3 linked regions of the Astyanax mexicanus genome follow. The protein of the gene in region 2 interacts with the protein of the main gene of each other region in a biochemical or structural test. Links are inferred from orthologs where the notes say so. Each region holds a gene or a part of one and is shown on either strand. Other genes may lie near its edges. The genes, in order: zfyve9a, smad2 and erbin.

What was found.
Region 1: the proteins of smad2 (region 2) and zfyve9a are reported together in a solved structure, tested with the Homo sapiens proteins (2 studies listed by BioGRID and IntAct, with this or other methods). The link is inferred for Astyanax mexicanus from reciprocal best matches to the Homo sapiens genes SMAD2 and ZFYVE9.
Region 3: the proteins of smad2 (region 2) and erbin form a complex in vitro, tested with the Homo sapiens proteins (2 studies listed by BioGRID). The link is inferred for Astyanax mexicanus from reciprocal best matches to the Homo sapiens genes SMAD2 and ERBIN.

What each region holds. Positions count from the first base shown.
Region 1 is NC_064411.1:57,255,037-57,262,827, forward strand, and holds the start of zfyve9a (zinc finger FYVE domain-containing protein 9), read right to left. Parts: upstream 3,101-7,791; 5' UTR 2,842-3,100; intron 2,816-2,841; exon of another isoform or gene 1-2,815. UniProt on the Homo sapiens protein: Early endosomal protein that functions to recruit SMAD2/SMAD3 to intracellular membranes and to the TGF-beta receptor.
Region 2 is NC_064427.1:23,598,170-23,605,124, reverse strand, and holds the start of smad2 (mothers against decapentaplegic homolog 2), read right to left. Parts: upstream 3,031-6,955; 5' UTR 2,849-3,030; intron 2,553-2,848; 5' UTR 2,443-2,552; intron 1-2,442. Other genes in the region: coiled-coil domain-containing protein 17, read left to right, coding at 4,404-4,532, 6,451-6,576, 6,730-6,835, 6,935-6,955. UniProt on the Homo sapiens protein: Receptor-regulated SMAD (R-SMAD) that is an intracellular signal transducer and transcriptional modulator activated by TGF-beta (transforming growth factor) and activin type 1 receptor kinases.
Region 3 is NC_064427.1:22,909,967-22,918,075, reverse strand, and holds the start of erbin (erbin), read right to left. Parts: upstream 3,080-8,109; 5' UTR 2,398-3,079; intron 1-2,397. UniProt on the Homo sapiens protein: Acts as an adapter for the receptor ERBB2, in epithelia. By binding the unphosphorylated 'Tyr-1248' of receptor ERBB2, it may contribute to stabilize this unphosphorylated state.

The sequences.
Region 1 (7,791 bases), on a different chromosome or scaffold from region 2:
TCAGTTTTTGGGATGCACTAGTACATTGATTTTTCCAACATATCCATCCAACCATCCATCCATACAAATTTGTATCCTATGACTACTATATGTAGATTCTGCCATCAGTACATACACCTAAATACAGTCTTAATCAAAACATATATTTTGATACCTACAGTATATAGCCATTTTTATTTGTCCATGCATCTGTATTTCAATATATCCATCCTTCCATCCATGTATCCATTGATATATCCAACCAACCATCAGTATACTTTTCTACACAATTCCATCCATAAATACATTGATTTACCCAACAGTACATCCACCTATACTGTATATTGGTCAATATATTTACTAATATTTCTATCCAGACATGAATGTACTCATCAATACATGTATACATCCATAAATATATCCACCCACAGGCTTTTTAAGCAAGGATTATTAGTATTAAACACAGCAATCTCATATTACGGTATTAAACAGTGTTGTTGTGGATTTTTACTGAGATTATGTTTGCATGTTTATTTTATGATAACTCACTGATGTAACTATTGCTTTGGGCCTAGTTTACATCTTATCTGTTTGATTTAACTGATTGCAGTAATTTTAACGGCACGTAAATAGCTTAGAGGTGGTGATCTTTGTCACCTAGCGTTAGCATGCTGAAGAACACATCAATAATTGAGTATTGTTTAAATTATTAATCAAACAACACTTTATTCCTTCTTTTTTTTGTGTGTCTCAAAATGTGCCCAAATTCAACAGGTTACCTCAACACATTTCCTCGATAAATAGCAGCATTTTTAAACATTTAAAGGGCAACGTTCTGGACATTTGAAAGGCATTTGAATCCCTTGTTCAGCTGTTTCTATCGATTTGAAGCGAAGACAGAGAAAGCTAGAAACAGGAACCATACCCAGAGCAAGCAGAAATAATCGTTAACTAATCGGAAAAAATAATCGCCAGATAAGTAGACGAACAAAATATTCAATAGTTGCAGCCATCTACCAAATTGATCATTAGTTGCAGCCCTAATTCAGTGTGTGATTACTGTAGTACTACTACAGTGCATGCGAATATACAATATTGATTACTGTACAATACGTATACTAAAATTAAAATATCAAACCTAATAAAAAGATATAACAGTTGAGCTCCATATTCCACAAGATGGATGGCATCCAACTTCAAAATAATTCAGAATAACATGGTATTATCATGGATCGAAGCATGGAAACCAGTTAATAAACATCTGTAACCTTAGCGGACACTTAAAAGTAGTTCTATTTAGCAAAACAGTACTGGGGACACTCAAACAGTTTACACTCAACATGTCTCCAAAAGGGCCCAAATTCAACAGAATACACATTTCCTCAATAAATAGCAGCACTTTCCACATTTAAAGTGTATTTAAATCCCTTGTTCAGCTGTTTCTAGCGATTTGAAGCGAAGACAGAGGAAGCTATAAACCGAAGCCATTCCCAGAGGAAGCAGAAATAATCTACAAATCGACTAATCAGGAAAATAATAGTCAAATCAGTCAACTACCAAAATTATCATTAGTTGCAGCCCTAATTGCAGCCACGTATTCAGCAGTGTGTGATTACTGTAGTACTACTACAGTGTATTCAAATATACATTATTGGTTACCGTACTCTAAAATTTAAATGTCAAACCTAAGAGATAAAACTATGTAAGAAGTAACAATTGAGCTCCATATTCCACAGCATGGATGGCACCCAACTTCAAAATAGCATGGCATTATCATGGATGACAGCATGGAAACCAGTTAATAAACATTTGTAGCCATAGTAGACACTTAAAAGTAGTTCTATTCAGTAAAACAGTACTGGGTAAATCAAACAGTTTACACTCAACTCTGTCTACGTCTCCAAAAGGGCCCAAATTCAACAGAATACACATTTCCTCAATAAATAGCAGCACTTTCCACATTTAAAGAGCAACGTTTTGGACAATTTAAGGGAATTTAAATCCCATTTCAGCTGTTTCTAGAGATAAAACGAGAACAAGAAATAACAGTTGAGCTCCATATTCCACAGCAGGGATGACATCCAACTTCAAAATAACAAACAACACAATCATCAGATTAGCTGTCTAACAAATTAATCATGAGTTGCAGCCCTTATTCAGGGTGTGATTACTGTAGTACTACTACAGTGTATGCAAACAATACATAATTGATTACTGGTATACTATTTTTTTAAACGTCAAACCTAAAAGATAAAACTATGTAACAGTTGAGCTCCATATTCCACAGCATGGATAGCATCCAACTTCAAAATAGCATGGTATTATCATGGATCAAAACCTGGAAACCAGATAATAAACATTTACAGCCTTAGTAAACACTTACAATTAGTTCTACGCAGTAAAATAAAGCATTTTAAAGGGTTTAAAAAGGTTTTAAAAGGGTTTAACCTCTAGATAACAGTGTTGCACCACAGCATTAGCCAGTTATAGCCTAGCTTAGAGCTAGAGTAAATAAACTTTGGCTGGAGCTTGACCTCTTCCTGAGCGTTTTCTACAGCTGATCACATAAAAACAGGCTGTTTTAAAGGGTTTGGAGCTTGTGTGGTATGTTAATAAGGATGTAAAATGTTTAAAAATGTGGATTTAAAGCGAATTATTCCAGCTAATGATCCGGATTGTTGAGAAATCCAGCAGTAAAGCAGGGTGAGAGCCTGTGTTGTTCTGCTGCAGCCTCTCTTTCTCTGTGTAAAATGACACCGTGAAGGTGATCCGGGGATTAAAATTAATCAAATCGATTGATCATCTATCGGAAAACGATCGATTATCAGTGTGCCAGGCTGCCTGGCTCTCTAACTAACTCACCGCAGCTGCAGTGGCCATCCTCAGTCACTCACAGCGCAGCGCAGCCATGCAGCAGCTCCAGCTCCTCCTCCAGCTCCGGCTCCTTCAGCGGGGCGATCCAGCCGCTGTGGCCGCTCTGAGCTCACCCTGCGGCGGCTGAGCTGCGTGGACGCTCCGCGGGTCTCCGGTTCTCCGCTGCAGGCCCACGGGCTGTAAAGATGGCCTCTAAACTAGAGCGGGGAGCGCGAGGCAGCGCTGCTACAGCGCGGCATCAGAAAGGGGCGGGGCCTGGAGTAATTACTCACTGCTTTGTAGGTTGTAAGCCGAGGAGTGACGCATTTGGCTCCGCCCGTGGGCGGGGTTGTGGGCGTGGGGTTGAAAAGGAGGCGGTGCTTACAAATATTGGCAATGTTTGAAAGTATTTTTTTATTCTGGAATAATAATAAGTTATTATATATTCATTTTATTATTTCGTTCAAAAAGTTATGTAACGTATAACTGACAGACTGGTTTACAGTCAACAACCTTCACCTGAATGTGGACAAGACAAAGGAAATGGTTGTTGACTTCAGGAGAGCACAACACACCCACTCTCCACTCAACATCGACGGGTCCTCTGTGGAGATTGTTAAGAGCACCAAGTTCCTTGGTGTCCACTTAGCAGATAACCTCACCTGGACCCTGAACACCAGCTCTACAGCCAAGAAAGCCCAGCAGCGTCTCTACTTCCTCCGGAAGCTGAGAAAGGCCCGTCTCCCTCCACCCATCCTCACACTCTTCTATAGAGGGACCATTGAGAGCATCCTGAGCAGCTGCATCACTGCCTGGTTTGGGACCTGCACCGTCTCTGACCGCAAGACCCTCCAGCGTATTGTGAGGACAGCTGAGAGGATCATCGGCGTCTCTCTCCCCTCCATCACGGACATTTACACCACCCGCAGCATCCGCAAAGCAACCAGCATTGTGAATGACCCCACCCATCCCTCACACGAACTGTTCTCCCTCCTGCCTTCGGGAAGAAGGTACCGCAGCATCCGGTCCAGCACGACCAGATTCTGCAACAGCTTCTACCCCCAAGCCATCAGACTCCTTAACTGCAAAGACTGAACTGATGGTTTTTCTGTACATGCACACACACACTCTTACCCCACTTACCCCAGAAAATGGAAAGCACTAAAAACCCTACTACCTCACTGGACTCTATTGCACACTGTGTAATAGAGGTAATTACTACCTCACCTGGTCTTTTTTGCACACTGCATAATTTGCACACTGTCTTGTTATTTATTATTCTTTGTCTGTATGGTGTTGTATTGTCTGTCTGCACTTTTGTACTGTTGCACTATTGTTCTGTCTACACTGTGTTTATGTGCACCATGGTCCCTGGAGGAACGTTGTTTCGTTTCACTGTGTACTCTTTATATAGCTGAAATGACAATAAAAACCACTTTGACTTTGACTTTGACTTTGAGAACTTAAAATATAATTATTAATTGATATCAGAAAACAAAATACAGAAAATATGCAGAAAAAAAGGACATACAGGATACTAAATCAGTCAAAAGTTGGCACACACACCTTAAATTCAGTGTTTTTTCATCATTTTTCATCATTTTGAAATGTTCTGTACTGTAGATAGATTAATACTAAACTCATCCAAACTATGAACAAAAACATGTTAAAGAACTGAAGGTATCCTCCATTTCAGTCACCACAAAGACCATCAAAAACATTATGATGATGAAACTGGCTCTCATCAGGACTGCCCCAAGAAAACAAGAGAGCAAGAATTTCCTTTGTTGCACAGAATAGGTTCATCAAAGTTACCAGCCCTATATTCGAGACCACAGCCTTTGAAGGTAATTTTTATCCTGAAATATTAATAAGTTACTAAGTATTACATTTTTTTTTCAAAAAGTTATGTAACGTATAACAACATAGAATATAATCATTAATCATTATACCAGAAAGGAGAAATATGCAGAATCAAAATACACACAGAATTCATACACACTGTAAATTCAGTGTTTTCACATCATTTTAAAATGTTCTGCATTGTAGATTAATACTAAAGTCATCCAAACTATGAAGAAAAACATATGAGGGTCAGGCAGTCTGAAAAATGTCAAGAACTGAAAGTACAAAGTGCAGTCGCAAAGACCACCAGAAACCTTATGATGAAACTGGCACTTATCAAGAGCAAGAGTTCCCTCTGTTGCACAGAATAAGTTTATCAGAGTTACCAGTCCTATATTCAATACCACAGCCTTTGGAGGTAATTTTATTCTAGAATATTAATTAGTTATTTGTGAAGTCTGGAGCTGCATTGTAAACTAAACAGTAACGCCCACTGAATAAATATGGATGACAGGGATACAATTAATTAAATGACACCAGAAATGAGAAATTACACAGAACAAAATGAAGTATACTCAAAAAATTTTTTTTACCATTTTAAAACTTGTTTATATAAAAATTAACTTTATTTTAAAATCACAATACTCTATTCACAGTATACGCCACATTTGGATCTGTATAAAAAGCAATAGAATACATGTTGTTTGATGAAAAGTTAAAAGTAGTATTGGTTTTCTTTCTATAGAACAATTTAAAACATCTAACCTCTAGAAAAATACTTTTATGCCATAATATTTGGTACATTTTTGGGTAAAAACAATTAGTTTATTTTAGGAAGATGTCGAAATTTTAGTAGGTTGTAGAAATAATGGAGGCCACATTTTTCGAATCTTTGATATTTATTTTTTTAATTACATAAATATTATTAGCAGTCAGATATTATTGTGCTCTTCACATTAACAAAGAATCATAAAAATCCCTCATTTTAAACCCAGATGTCAGATTTAATGATCTATACATCATGTTCAACCTGTTTTTTTTTTACATTTTAAAACGTATAATTAACTTTATATTAAAATAACCAAACTGTATATACAGTATACTGCACATTTGGATCTGCATATAAAAACTAGTAGAATCCATTGCACAACTTATTAGTAAAGATTTAAAAGTAGTATTGGTTTTCCTTCTTATAGAACAATTAAAAACATCTAAACTCTAGAAAATTATTTAATCTCTACATTTTTGTCTTTTACCTGAAACATTTGATAAAATTAGTTTATTTTAAGAAAGTGTTGAAATGTTTATTAGTTTATAGAAATGATGGAGGCCATATGAGCATTTTAGTTATCTTTTTTTTTTTTTTACATTTTTATATTTATTTTTGTATTTACATACATTTTATTTACAGTCAGATATTATTGTGCCTTTTACATAAAAAAAAATCATAAAAAATCCCTAATTTTAAATCCAGACGGCAGATCTAATGATCTATAAATCATAATCGCCAAGACGTGGTGCATAATATGAGCTACAGATCAGCGGATCTGCGCAGTGGGTCACGAGCCCAGAGTCACGCGCCGGGGTCACGCGCTGTTCATATAAAAGCGCGGGAATTCAGTTCTGAGGTCAAACTGTCAGCTAAGTTTGCTAATTTTATACCGCAGTTTTCACAGCACTTAACTATGGCTTTTCTAGGAAAGAAAGCTAGATAACTGAAGATATTTCGCTTTAATAAATCGTAAAGTTAGCATAAAGCATATTTTATAACTCCTGAAATATACTTTTTATTTTATTTATTTTATTTAAGGTAAACAAATGTCATTGACTAGTTAGCTAGCTAGCTTTTTTAAGTTATAGGCTTTAGATATGTTAGAAACCTACATATCTGCATTTTCCATGTAAAACTTTTGTGATTTTGCCAGAAATATATTAACCAAATAGTAGTCAAAAAGCCCTGCAATCCCATATTAGAGGTGGGCGATATGGCCCTAAAATAATAAATAATATGACAATATTTTATGTTTTTTTGTAATGACTATACTCTTGGCGATATGTCAAAATACTAAATAAAAAATTATTTCAAGAATACACTACTGCAACAAAATGAAAATTAAATTTTATTATTGTATACGATATGATATGGCACACCCCTAACCGAGATATTAACAAATACAAGATTTTTATCAGATTTGTAACAGAAGTCAATAAGGCTTGACAGAATGTCATGATTCTAATAATAATACACTCCAAATATCTCCATATATCCAGGATTAAAGTAAAATAAATGATACTGCACAGATATAATCTGTCTCTAGTAGATATATAATGGGAAATAAGAACAGTGTGAATTTTTCTTTTGATAAAAACAGTAAAAAAAAAAAAAAGTAGAACCCTGATGTGATAATTAGGGATGCGTGATATGGTATGATATTTCAGGGTATAATATCGTTCACGATATTCAAAAATGTTGGTGATATTATTCCTTACGATATGACACACCCCTAATAGATATGTATATACGTAAAAACCTATTAACTAGATAATGGAAACTGTCATGTATATATCTTTTTTAGAAATGCAGCAGCAATAATAAAGATTTATGATCTTTTATTAATAAAAAAAATCTATTTTAACAGTGAAGAAACACATGTAACATTTATTTGCCTTATATTTTAAATTTATACAACACAAAAAAGTTAAGGGTGCTCCTGACAATTTAGATTTTTTGTTTGTTTGATTCACATTTGTTTAGGTAACTGGTTCTTACATAAACTGTTCTTAAACCTTTTTTTAATTAACATGTAGCTTAAATCAATTGAATTGAAAGTGAGGCAGCCGGTGTCGCTTAATCCTTTATTGACATACAAAAAATATGTAATTAAATATGAGTTTGAAATATCGGCCAAATCTAAGAAATTATATTTTAATGATGTTTCCAAAAAAAAAGCAATTACTGTCCGATACCGATATATCGTGGTGAATCCCTAAGATAAATAGATGATACATTCTTAATTTATCACACTTGTAATTGTAAATTGCAAATTATATATGTAAATTATTTCTGTCTACTGGTTTGAAGTTTGGCGTTGTGAATTGAGATGATTTAGAATT
Region 2 (6,955 bases):
TATTTAAGCATTAGAGCCAGATTTCAGTATTAAATGCCTCTAGAGTTTCAGGACTAAAGTCCATGGAGCTGATGAGTTCTTGGAGAGCCTGATCGCTAATTAATCTCTTTACACAGCTCATTTGGTGAGTAGAGAGTGTGAGAAAGAGTGTGGTTAAATGACTAACCGTTCTGTTATAACTCTTACTGTATGGGTTTGTGGGTATGAACACAACTGTGCCAAATTTAAGCATGATGGAGACTGAAGATATATGAAGATAAAAGCACCACACTAGATAGCAGCTGGATGCTTATGGCAAGATGTAGCAGGAACAAACTCTTTATTATAGACTAGTTAAAGAAATGTTTTGGCTTTTTTCTTTACAGTAGTCTGAAAGTGTCTGAATTACACATTAAATTTATTATTTTTCTGCACTTTCTATCTGTGTGTAGATTTTTGTTAAAAGTTAGCATTCTAACACCACCTGAAGTACTGAAACTGTCGACTGCACTATGTTGACAGAAGCATACTGTTAGTTGCTAGGTTCTCTCTCTTCTGCATAACATCCAGATATGCTCATTTCCTTTGTATCAACAACCAATTGTTAAAGAAAAAAGGGGGAGTTTCTTGATAGAAAGACACAAATACAAGTGCAGAGCTCTCCACTTCAGAAGCACCTTTTTACAGCGATGATGGGTGTTAAGAGTATTTTCTAATCTATGCAACAACAAAAAAAATCGGATATGTTAATACATTTAAACAAGAACTGAATTCAGCCAGACTGTATCCACTGTTCAGATTTCTGCTTTTAAAATGCATGCAAATGTTTATCCACATATTAAGCTAACTAGATAGTGCCTCATTTTTTAAACATAAAATTAATAAACGAAAACGTGACACAAGAAAAGAAATAGTATTTAACTGGGGCAGTTCAATTGTTTATAATTAGGGATTTAGGGGCAGATTTTGGTTAGTGCATCCCTGTTTATTTAATTTACAATATTTGCTGTGGTGTCTTGTCATAAAGGTCAGTGTAACTTTTATCAGTTAAATTTTGAGAGTTTGAGGCCAAATTTGATAAATATTGGATATAAAAATGTATATACTTTTAATTGTTTATTATTATTTCTGCATTTCACAAACAGAATTTTAGGAAAAATGAAATCTTCTCAATATTCTGATTTCAATTTTTGCATCAAAAACATCATGGTATAATAAAACTTACTTTTGTTACAACTGTGTTCTGACAGTTGCAGAAACGATATAAAACACATTATTCTAAAAAAAAAGTAATGCAGTGGTGCTTCAAAATGTTCTATTTCAGCCTCAGTCAGAAAATATTAACTGAGGCCCTACAAGTAAACAGGGTAAAAAAATAAACAGGGATGCAGTGAACGAATAACATTTTTTATGAAACAAGAAAAAATTATATATATTTCTGCACTAAGTAAATAGACTAGATATGTGATTGATCCATATTAATTATTCGATCTTGAAGTTGGTAAGTCATTATACAGTTCTGGAAAAAGTAAGAAACCACTTCAGTTTCTGAATCAGTTTCTCTGATTTACCTATTTATACGTATATATGTTTGAGTAAAATAATCATTGTTTTATTCTATAAACTACAGACAACATTTCTCCCATATTCTAAATAAAAATAAGATGCAGTGCTTTCAGACTTCAAATAATGTTCAAACAAGTTCAAATTATAAAGTTCTAAAAGTATAGAAGTTAATACTTGGTGGAATTAGCCTGTTTTTTTTTCATCACAGTTTCATGTATCTCCGCTCCTCAACCTTACACACTGCTTTTGGATAACTTTATGCCACTCCTGGTGCAACAATTCAAGCAGTTCAGCTTGGTTTGATGGCTTGTGATCATCCATCTTCCTTTTGATCATTTTTAATTTGGTAAAATCAAAGAAACTCATACTTTTTAAGTGGTCTCATTCTTTTCCAGAGCTGTATATCTAAGATATGTTGAGTGCCTCGTTAGTAGAAATCTTGTTTGTTTTTGTTTTTTTTTTGCAGTAGTGTATTCCTGAAATATTTTTTTTTTTATTTCAGTGTTTTGGTATATCCCAATGAGTATCATGATGATATATGAGCCATATCACCCACCCCTACTATCATAACTAGTGTCAGTTATTAATTAGTAGTTAGTTTAGGCAAATACTTAAATGTGTATTAGTGTGTTTAGTAAATGCATAAGCATTATTAAATTAAATGTTAAATTAAATGTTTTTTTATTGAAATCAAGATTTAAACTACACCGATAAACCGGTCCACACGTTGCCAGCAGTCTATGAAAAAACACGTAGCTTAGGTTAGCTAACCTAACTTACTTAGCTAACGTTACCCATCCACAGAAAAACAGGCCAGGGCCTACAGAAGCTGCTCTTTACAAAGAGGAGATATTAATAAATGGTTTTTAAAGGCTTCTGTGTGCGTCCAGCACTTACCTCGGGCAGCAGGACTGATGGAAAATGTGGAGAGGAGATGTTGTTTTATGGCTGCATGAAAAGCCCCGTCCGAGCGAGCGAGTCCCGGGGCGAGAGGCTGAGGCTAGCGGCTACAAACGAGAACAAACCCAGAGTGTGAATGCAGATGGAGCCGGCCACGGTTACACAAAAACACAGCACTGTTCAAGCATCTTTTAGCAGTATCTGTAACCGCGGAGAGGTGATGGTGCTGGAGAGGTGGCGGTTTTAGTGATTAAGGAGGTGTGTGTATGTGTGTTCAGCTCAAAAAACCGCTAAGTTAAGCTCGGAGGCTTCGCCACTTTGTTTGACAGAAAAATAAACAGGTTAGAGACGTGTTCGCGGAGCAGCTCCTATTTTCACCTATTTTTACAGCAATAAAACTCACCTTCAGGATGAGCCGCCGGCTTTATGCACACCCCAAAAATGTGTACGGACCCTCCACACCAAAACCTGGCGTTTATCTCCGTCCTCCAGGCTCTAAAAATCGATTTAAACTGTATTTTTCTTTCTCTCTGTAGCCAAATTACAGCAGCAGACGACGGTGGCCTCTCTCATATGGACAACCGAACCTTAACGCACTCAACGCGATACAGGCCCGCCCTCAGTCCCGCCTCTAGTCCCGCCTTCGTGCTGCTATTGGTCAAAATCTCAGCCAACGCGCTTCTACTTAGAATACATTGGTCAGCATCTGCCGTCAGTATATCCAAATATTAATTATGCAAAGCGGCCCGCGTACCCCATTGGTCGTCCAGACTCGCCATTCCCTCGTTGACGTTTGGATTCCAGGCCGCAGGCTGTGGTTTGTCGACGCGGCCGTCCGTCTGTCCATCTGTTTGCTTCGTAACCGAAGCACAGAGAGAGAGAGATGCGCTGAGAGCCGAATCGCAAAGTGGGTTAGATACGGCTGCACAGCCCCATCAAAGCAAACAAGCAGCGTATCCCTCCGCCATTCAACAAAGGAGAAACAAATAGGGCCTCAAAATAGCTTTTCTTCTATGGAGATTATAATTAAATATTTGTTGTGTAGAATTTATACAACTTATTTCACTTTTGATAAACTTTATACAAATATTTACTAGCATCGTTAAAAAAATCTGAATTTTAAGATATTTTTTGTGTGTTTTAAAATTTTACACTTTACAACTACGGTCACAAACAATACCAACACTTACGACATTAAACATTAAATATTGTTAAATGGTTAATAATGACAAAATGTCTCAGCTAATTATTCATTGGAACTAGTTAAAACATTATTAAACTTTAATATTTTTAAATATTTTTAATTGATTATTATATTTTAACGTTTTCCATAAATAATTAGATGAGATATTCGGTCATATGTACTGTTTATTAATGAGTTACTACTTTAAAGCGTTACTAATTTATTAAAATCAAAATTGATTCACACGTTGACTAAAAAAAGTGACATATCTAAGCATTTAAATCCTTTTGTTGGACTTCAAATATTTAATTTATAGTTTAAAAAATCTGAAACCATATAACATTTATAACATTGTTTTTTGTGTGTTTTAAAATTGTGAGATGGTAAAATTTGCTGTTGAAAAAAAAGTACATTTAAAATATGTAAATATATATATTTATAAAATTATTAAATTAAGATAATATTAATAAGATATTACAATGGTAAAATAAAAAGTGAATAAAATAATAAGCCAAAGTATCAAAAAGGTTAAAAAGTTTTTTTTTATTTATATAAGAAGATTGTTATTTCACAGTGAAAGAGTTTAAATGGGCTGGAACTGTAATAACTCATTCCCAGCGTGTCCAGCAGACGGCGCTGCTGTAAGTTTGGTTTGGTGTGTGTTATGTATTATTGGTTGTCAAGAGCAGCTCAACACAGAGCCTGGCTGAACTGCACAGACATTTACCTACCTGGCTAATCCGGTTTTATTTAATAAGAGTTTTTTTTTTCAGCAATGGATTCATTAATTTGTTCTAGATGTAATATGACGTTCAGATCATCAAATTTTCTGGCAAAGCATCGGGAGAAGTTCTGTATTGGAAGTGTTGGTCAGAATGAAGAGTCTGATTTCCATCAAAACCTGGTAAAATTTCATGTTTCATGTTATATGTTTAAATGTGTATGCTATCCATATCTACTGTGGAACCAGATCTTTATTGTGTCTCACTGTGAAGCTAAAGTCTGATTGCATGGACAATGTTTGCCAGATGCTGCCAGTCCCATAACTTTTGGCATGTCAATACAGGATGACACACATTTTTACTGATGTCTGTATTAATTTATATTTTATATATTATAAGGGTTCTTTAGTAAAGGCACCAGAACCACTTATACAGAAAGAAATATGTAGAAGGGCAATTCCACCGAATAGGTGCAATTTGCTTGTTGTAACGCTTCCAAATTAAGCTTTTTATTTTTTTTTTCAACTCTGAATCTAATAACATATTTAACTATTTAAAACATGTACTGGTCAAACTCAGGCAGCTTTACTTATGTTTTTTGATTAAAGTGTTAAGGTTTCAAATCCGAAGATGGTTACAAAATTCATGTTACATTTAAAAAAACACTAGTCCACTAATTCCTTTGATTTTCTCCCAAGAAAGTCTTTTTTTTAAAGAAAGTCTTTTCATTTAAAAAAAAATGGTTGACTGCATGTTCAAATAATTATTATTTATGACAAAAAAACTCATTCCTGTTATTTTTATGTTTTTTGAGTACAACTGTGAAAGTCATAAAAGTAAACAAGAATGGTCTATGGTTTTTAGCATGGAATTAGCAAAAACATAAGACATAGCTAAGTTGCGGCTATGCTAATAGCATGAGGACACTAAGCACATTCTAGTGATTTTCCCAAAAGGAACTAATTCAGGTAACAGGAAGTGTTAAGATTGAGCTCCTCAGTCATAGTTACAATAAGATCAAATAAACAGAAAAACAAAAGAGGGAACTTACAGTAATTTTGGTCTGGATTTTGGTATGATTTTCAGAAGAACCAGCTGATGTCACTTCCTGTTGTAGAAGTGACTTGTAGAATGTTTTCAGATGTTTTAGATGGGGTAATGTGTTACGGTAACAGGACTGAGTGAAACCCAGTGACACAACTAAAATGTGTATTTTAACATAAACATTTTTATGGACGCCCATTTCCGCCACCTAAAATAAAATAAAAAATCCAGCACATTTTTTTCTTATTATTAAGTTAACTGCCATCTTATTTTTTGAGATAGTAAGTCATTTTTTGAGATACTATCTCATTATTTTTAAAAACTATTTCATTATTTTGAGATAATATCTCATTATTATGAGATAGTAAGTCATTATTTTGAGATAGTAAGTCATTATGTTGAGATACTGTCTCATTATTTTGAGATGCTAAGTCATTATTTTGGGATACAAAGTCATTATTTTGAGATAGTAAGTCATAATTATTTTAAAATATTTTTTCTGAAAGCAAACACACTTGCTATCTCAAAATCACTTAATATCTCAGACTAATGAGGTAGTATCTCAAAATAATGAAAAGTATCTTAAAATAATGACTTACTAGTTGGTCAAAATGGGCTTCCATAAACTTTTGACTTATTATGAACAAAACATTATTAAAATTATTAAAAAACAAAAAAAAATTTTAAACATAGATGGGATTTGAAGTCAAACAGCAATGCAAAAAAGAAATACATCTCTGAAGGATTTTAATAATTATATTTCATGGTAAAATGTATAGTTAGAGACTGGAGACAGGTAACAAATGCTATTTTTTTCAGTGTTTAAAGTCGTTTTTATTAATGTTTTTAATTACATATTTTACTTTTGCAATTACACCATTGTACAAGACACTATGCTTAATAATAAAATGTATTTTAAAGTTATTTCTGCACATTTATACATGTATTTCCTGAGGACAGAAAAGGCACCCATTTGGTGGAATTGCTCAAAAATACATAGTGTCCTATATGATATGAGGATATCTGAAGTACTTGTATTGTTTCATACTTCCACAGAATGAGAGGATAAGAGAATTGAGGAGGATACGGCAGCAGGACAGGCCTAATGCAAGAGCCCAACTCAGCCAGCAGAACATTCACACACCAGCTCAGAACCACATGCAAAAACCCAGCAGTGAACCAGTAAGAAACACATATAAACAGCCCCACAAATGTTTTATGACCTCTGCTTTTATTGGTTTTGCCTGAATTGCAGTAATTTTAGTTCATTTAGATAGAGATGAGAGTGTATGTGTGTGTGTGTGTGTGTGTGTGTGTGTGTGTGTGCATGGACAGACAGCAGGCAGGTCAGAAGATCAGCTCCTTCAGATCCAGCCAAAGATGGACAAGCAGAAGATGGTGAGATCTGCTGACAGCAAACATCTAAACCAGCACAGAGAAGGTAATCATGAGCTGACCCTTTTTGCACAATTACTCATGCATTAAATTAGTTTTTTTTATTCATAAATTAGCCATCTGAAGACCCACTGGTTGGTTGCAGAGATGGACCTGCAGGAACTGC
Region 3 (8,109 bases), about 690 kb from region 2:
ATTTGATTCTATTTAACTCTATTAGTTGCACACACTAAAAGGTCTAAACAGGGTGCCGTGTCTACTCTGTCTACTCTCCCAAATCGTGTGGATACAGTTTTGTTTCCAGAGTTTAGCTACGCAATCAAAGCTCAAGCTGAGGAGGCTGGGATGCTAATCGTATTATACTGTGCAGAGGAAACCCAAAACCACAGTAAGATGAACAAACATGATCTCTTAATATAGTACAGATGATATACACATATACAGCTCTGGAAAAAAATAAAGAGACAACGTCAGTTTCTGAACCAGTTTATCGGATTTTGCTATTTATAGGTGTATGTTTGAGTAAAATGAACATTGTTGTAAAGAAATGAAAAGAAAACAAGTTAATATCCATAAAGTTTTAAGACTTCAGAAATAATCATCAATTTAGTGAAATAACTCTGGTTTTCATGCTTCTTGGCATGTTCTCCTCCACCAGTCTGACACACTGCTTTTTTTTTGATAACTTTATGCCACTCCTGGTGCAAAAATTCAAGCAGTATATAGTAACAAGTGTTTGCTTGTTATATTATTTGAAAAAAAAAAAAAAAAAAAAAAAAAAAAAACAGAACATATTAAATCCCAACAGAATATGCCTAGATCTATCAAATTCAAAAACAGACAATTATTATATTTGGGAATATCCAAAGATATCTCAATAGTAAACAATAGTTTAAAATTCAGAATCAGACAAAAACATGTGAAACAGAGCAAAGCAGATCAGAATCAAGTAGCAACAAAGCAGCGGTAACACCTACTAGATTTTACCAAACAAAATATTTAAATTGATAAACAGAATCCTGCTGAAACGGAATTCTAAAACGACTGAATACATTACATCAGAACTCACGCAACAGAATTAGAGAACAGAAATTATCACAACAGATCTTTTATCAAACTCATTACAAGAGAAAGCATTCAAATTCTAGCATCCAAAAATACATAAACTGAACTGAACTAAATGCTGAGCGACTGACAGATTAAATTGGTTTAATCTGTCAGGTAATATCCATTCACTTTCAATCAGAAGCCAGGAGCATGCAGCACTGAGCCAGCAAATAACCCACATAATGAGAATACTAACAATAAAACGACTAACAAAAAAATTAGCTTTTTTATATAAATAATGATAGCAATTCATGTGTGTCTACAAAAAAATCTATAACAAATAATGAATCTCTCAAGCCAGAAAAGACATTAACCAAAGAATGTTACATAAATGTTGTTTAAAGGTTGTTTTTCTCAACATGAACAAACGTTTATTCAATGTTTACTGCTATCAGGGCAGATAGCTAGTCGTTAGCAGGGTTAGTTCAGATTCACCTGTTCAGACAGACACAAAGCAAGCACGGTGTCCAGCAGTTTATCACCAGGCTGGGGTTTGTTTACCTGATTATACACTTAATTCAATTCCTTTAATCCTCCCAGCCTACATACAGCTACAGTGTAGTAAACTCTAAAACTCACTCTAAAGCTCACTGGTGTCACTAAACCATTTTAAACTTTGTTTATAACCACCTTCAGACAGTCTTTAACTGTTTTAGTTTCCTTTTTTCCCCTTTTATTGATTTAGTCTTTTTATTCGTCTAAATTTCTGTTTTACCTTTTAGCCTTTTTATTTATTTTTCTTTCACATATTTTATTAATTTCGTCCTTTTATGAATTATGTTTTCCTTGTTGTCCTTTACATTTGTATTTATTTTATTATTATTTCTTTTTTATGTATATATTTTATTATTCCTTTATTCTGAATATATATATTTTTATTTCTTCTAAATAAAAATCTTATAATGTTTGTTTGCTTGTTTTTCTAATGCTTTTACTACATAATTTATTTTGTTTTATGTTAATTTTATTATTTTACCTCACGAGGTAAAATACTTGCTTTTAATTTTAATTTAAACTTTTATTTTCAGTCCTTTTTAAGTTATTGGGGATTCATTAAAAATGAGGGTTACCCTCAATGTTTTTTGTTTTGTTCAAATTACCAAGTGAAAATAAAGGTTGATTGATGTACAGTTATGTTAGCTAAATAACTGCTTTTGTTTCTAGTGAATTTAGTTACTTAGGCATTAATAAGTCCATTAAAACAAAATCATTTTTTTCCTATCTTCTAAAGCAGAACCTTAATTTTATTTCTTGGAAGTGAATTCTCCAGTCCACCTTAAATACTGCAGCGGTTGCGGTGTGGAGCCGGAGCACGCAGCCAAGCGCTCTGACTGAAACCGCTGCAGTTTTTAAGGTGGACCGGCGAATTCGACTTCAACTTCAAGCTCGTCGCGATTTGGGCTGGCAGGCTAACAAACAAGGAAGCAGCCGCCAGCAGCTGAAGGACGAAGTGAAACAGACAGTAAAAACATGTCGAGTTCTTACCTTATTTATCCAGCAGCTCTCCGTAATCCTCCGGGTTCGTTTAATTAGAAGAAAAGCGAATACTTTAAATCCACATGAGCTGTTCACACAAAGGCATCGCGCGGTTCACACGGGCTGGCTGTTAAGGAGGGTTAGCTAGCTAGCTAACTAGCAGGCATGCTAAGCTAACTAGCGTTAGCCTGCTTAACGCTATACACTCTGTGTTAGTCAATCAGGAACAGAGCACCACCTCTCTAAAGTTCACCGCTCAAGTTTTCCTCCCAAACTCGAGCACAAACACAAAACACAGCCCCCAGACCACCTTAATCTCCCCGGTCAGAGTGTTCTCAGATCCGCAGAACTCCAGCAGAGCTCGCTCAGAGCGCGGAGCTCCAGAAAACGGGCTGAAACCGCGTCCACACAGCGCACAGCAGCACAACAACCGGAGCCATGTACCAGAGGAGAAGCGAGAGAAAAATACTCCACAGCGGTTTATATAGAGATCACAGCGCGCCGCACCCACACACACAGCCGGCTAACTCTCCTCACAACCTCCCACTGCTTCCCTCTGAAGAGCGTGGGACATAAACACGGGTCCAGCGGTGAAGCAGAAGTGGCTGCACACCCTGAAGAAGCGGCGGGTGGACGCGGACACGGGGAGCTCAGAGCGAGGACTCAGTGTAAAGTGATGCAGCGCAGAGAGGGAGAGAGAGGGGCTGAAAACAGGCAGCAGCGGCGGCGCTGAGCGGGGAAACTGTGAGATGCAGCGCCATCTGCTGGCCGCTGCCTAAACCTAACCACAACCCACCAAAAGCGGTGGAGAAACAGAAATGAGCTCGTGACGTCGTTCCGTGGTCGAACTCAATTATGCCCATATAAGGAGCTCCGGCTGTAAACAGGTTTTCTCTAAGGCCAAAAAATCAAGTCTCCTCCTGGATTTAAGTAAGTAAATGATGTGGGGTTGATGCTGCAGTTGGTCTGCAGGTCTAGGTTCAGCAACAGTATGTGCATAAAGAATAAAGTCAACTGACTACCTGAATATACTGAATATAGACCAGGTTATTCCAACAACAGATTTTCTTCCCGAATTGTGAAAGAGTTCAGGGTTCAGGAAGCATGAGATCATCATTTTCACACATGGATTATTCACCACAGAGTCCACATCTTAACCTCATTGAGAATCTTTGGGATGTGCTGGAGAAGAAGATGCTTTGTGCAGAGGTCAGACTCTACCATCATTAATGCTGCTGCAAGATCTTGGTAAAAAATTAATGCAACACTGGATTGATATAAATGCAGAAGCTTATTGAATCAATGCCGCAATCAAAGCTAAAAGCGATACAACGAAATATCAGAGTGTTTTGGTGTTTTGTGTTTTTTTGGTGGTGATTTTTGGGTCAGGCAGTGTAAATAAATGTATGTTTTTTTTTGAATGGCACTGCTGATCTGTGGGAAGTTTTCTAACTTTTAGAAAATTTGGCATTGCTTGTTGCAAACTAAGTTTTTCACCCAGTTTAACATTACATCACAAAACTTATTTTATATACAATACAAATTAATTTTACTTGATTTTCTATTTTTTTCGTGTAAATTATATATTATAAAATTGAAAACTTAATAATTTTTTTCCTGAAATTCAGACCCTGCAGGTCCATTCTTTATCAAATACTAATTTGTGTATACTGCTGTATTTGGTTAATTTTATTTCCTTGAATTCTTATTTCACACAGAGTCATTAACACAGTATTAGTAGAAAACAGTAAAATGCACAGTAACATAACCTTCTTTTCTCCTTCTCTGGAGCAGTATCTGGATATAGTGAAAGGAGTGCAGATTTAAAATCTATAGTGATTTTAGTGTTAGGTCTCCCTCTAGTGATCGAAATAAACACGACTATCACTGTTTTCTGCTTGTGAGCCTTCATAAGCCTCCACCGATCCTTTAAACAGCGATTCTGAGCTACAGCTAAATACATGAGTATTAATATAATCTAAATAATAATCAACACCTGAGAAGCAGTTTTTCTCTATAGCTTTTTTCTCTATAGTTTTTACGCACGGCGCGCGTTTTTACGCACGGAATGCGCATTTACGCACGGCGCGCGTTTTTACGCACCGAATGCGCTTTTACGCACGGCGCGCGTTTTTACGCATGGAATGCGCTTCTCCGCACCATGCCTGATTTTAAGTCTGGTGATAAATGCTTTGTAAATCTGTAACGTGTAAATGCATAGATATACGCATTGATATACAGCTCTGGTAAAAAAAAAAAAAAGAAAACACATAAAAGTGACGGGTTTTTACCAAATTGAAAATCTCTGGAATATAATCAAGAGGAAGATGGATGATCACAAGCCATCAAACCAAACTGAACTGCTTAAATTTTTTAACTAGAAGTGACAGTGTGTAAGACTGGTGGAGGAGAACATGCCAAGATGCATGAAAACTGTGATGAAAAACCAGGGCTATTCCACCATATATTGATTTCTGAACTCTTAAAACTTTATGAATATTAACTTGTTTTCTTTGCATTATTTAAGGTCTGAAAGCTCTGCATCTTTTTTTTTTAGTTCAGCCATTTCTCGTTTTCTGTAAATAAATGCTCTAAAATGACGATATTTTTATTTGGAATTTAGTATTTTTTTGTATTTTTAAAAAATAAAACAATGTTAGTTGTACAAAATTAGAGAAACTGAAGTGCTCTCTTAAGGTTTTTTTCAGAGCTGTGTACTCCCCCGCAACAATCAACACTCCTGAAACTCTGCTCTTTTGATCCGGACCGTGCTTCATGCCCTCTTTCACACCTGCTAGTTTGGTTTGGACCCAGAATTGAGGAGTCTGAAAGTCCGGACAAGGCATGTGTGTTTTACAGTTTTTTATAGAAAATCTAGCCGTGCTTTTACAGGGGAAAGATTACAGAAACAGAGGGGGGTGGAAACGTTAGAAAGGATGGAGAGAAGGAGAGTAGAAACTGCCTCGGGGTTTCTCGGTTTAACCAGCTGTAGCGTCCCTTAGTCTGGCTGTTTAACTTTCTCAGCCTTTTAATATTCCTTAATATATTTATGTTCCTATTTGAGTAAACTAGACAAGATTGAACATTTTTTAAAGAAAAGCTGCAGCAGTGTAGAAGTGAGTGTGGGTCATACCTTCTCATCATTGTTAGTTTTTAATGTGGGTAATGGCTCCTCTCGTTACTTCATTTGGAAGAGGATCTCTGCTGTTTGAAAGCAGATGATTGGTCGCCACCAGGCGGCCACCATAGACTATTAAACTTTAAATTGTGGAGTTGGCATCTTGCTACACAAAATATTAACATACTAACCCGTTTTTATAAGAACAGTAAAAGATGAAGCATTGAGCATTTTTTATTTTATTTAATTTTTATTCATTTATTTTTTTCAATAGATTAACTCAAAAGAACAAAAAAGGACACTTGGAGATGCCCAAAGGGACACTTGGAGATGCCCAAAGGGACACTTGGAGATGCCCAAAAAAACTCTTGGAGATGCTCAAAAGGACACTTGGAGATGCCCAAAGGGACACTTGTAGAGGCCAAAAAAAAGACAATGGAGATGCCCAAAAGGACACTTGGAGATACCAAAAAAGACAATGGAGATGCCCAAAAGGACACTTGCAGATGCCCAAAGTGACACTTAGATATGCCCAAACTGACTCTTGGAGATGCCCAAATTGAACACTTGGAGATGCCCAAAAGGACACTTGGAGATGCCCAAACTGACTCTTGGAGATGCCCAAAAGGACACTTGGAGATGCCCAAAAGGACACTTGGAGATGCTCAAAAGGACACTTGGAGTTGTCCAAAGTGACACTTGGAGATGCCCTAAGTGACACTTGGAGATGCCCAAAAGGACACTTGGAGATGCCTAAAAGGACACTTGGAGATGCCCTAAGTGACACTTGGAGATGCCCAAAGTGACACTTGGAGATGCCCAAAAGGACACTTGGAGATGCCCAAAGTGACACTTGGAGATGCCCAAAGTGACACTTGGAGATGTCCAAAGTGACAATGGATATGCCCTAAGTGACACTTGGAGATGTCCAAAACGACACTTGGAGATGCCCAAAGTGACACTTGGAGATGCCCAAAGTGACACTTGGAGATGCCCAAAGTGACACTTGGAGATTCCCAAAAAGACACTTGGAGATGCCCAAAGTGACACTTGGAGATGCCCAAAAGGACACTTGGAGATGCCCAAAAGGACACTTGGAGATGTCCAAAGTGACACTTGGAGATGCCAAAAAGGACACCTGGAGATGCTCAAAAGGTCACTTTGAAATGCCCAATGTCCTTTTTGGAGACGCCCAAAAGGACACTTGGAGATGCCCAAAGTAACACTTGGAGATGCCCAAAGTGACACTTGGAGATGCCCAAAGTGACACTTGGAGATGCCCAAAAGGACACTTGGAGATGCCCAAAGGGATACTTGGAGATGCCCAAATTGAACACTTGGAGATGCCCAAAAGGACACTTGCAGATGCCAAAAAAAGACAATGGAGATGCCCAAAAGGACACTTGGAGATGCCAAAGTGACACTTGGAGATGCCCAAAAGGACACTTGGAGATGCCCAAAAGGACACTTGCAGATGCCCAAAATGACACTTGGAGATGCCCAAAAGGACACTTGCAGATGCCCAAAATGACACTTGGAGATGCCCAAGGTGACACTTGGAGATGCCCAAAGTGACACTTGGAGATGCCCAAAAGGACACTTGGAGATGCCCAAAGTGACACTTGGAGATGCCCAAAAGGACACTTGGAGATGCCCAAAAAGACAATGGAGATGCCCAAAGTGACACTTGGAGATGTCCAAAGTGACACTTGGAGATGCCCAAAGTGACACTTGGAGATGTCCAAAGTGACACTTGGAGATGTCCAAAGTGACACTTGGAAATGCGCAAAAGGACACTTGGAGATCCCAAAAAGACAATGGAGATGCCCAAAGTGACACTTGGAGATGCCCAAAAGGACACTTGGAGATGCCCAAAAGGACACTTGGAGATGCCCAAAGTGACACTTGGAGATGCCCAAAAAGACAATGGAGATGCCCAAAAGGACCCTTGGAGATGCCCAAAGTGACACTTGGAGATGTCCAAAGTGACACTTGGAGATGCCAAAAAGGACACTTGGAGATGCTCAAAAGGACACTTGGAAATGCCCAACATCCTTTTGGAGATGCCCAAAATAAACACTTGGAGATGGCCAAAAGGACACTTGGAGATGCCCAAAATAAACACTTGGAGATGGCCAAAAGGACACTTGGAGATGCCCAAATTGAACACTTAGAAATGCCCAAAAGGACACTTGGAGATACCCAAAGGGACACTTAGAGATGCCCAAAAAGACAATGGAGATGCCCAAATTGACATCCTTTTAGAGATGCCCAAATGGACACTTCGAGATGCCCAAAAGGTCACTTGGAGATGCCCAAAATAAACACTTGGAGATGTCCGAAAAGACATTTAGAGATCCACAGACACTTGGAGATCCTCAAGTTACATGATCAAGTAATTTATTAATGATACAAAAGATTATTTGAACACAAATTGAACAATCTCTACAGATGTTTAATATACAAACTCTCTGAAGTTGTAAGAACAACAAATTCTGCAGTCTCTAAAACATATAAATATGCGTACATATAAATAACAGATTGTGGTACATTTAGAAAGATGAAAAAACAGCTATTTTCCCATTAATACTGTAATGAGCAGT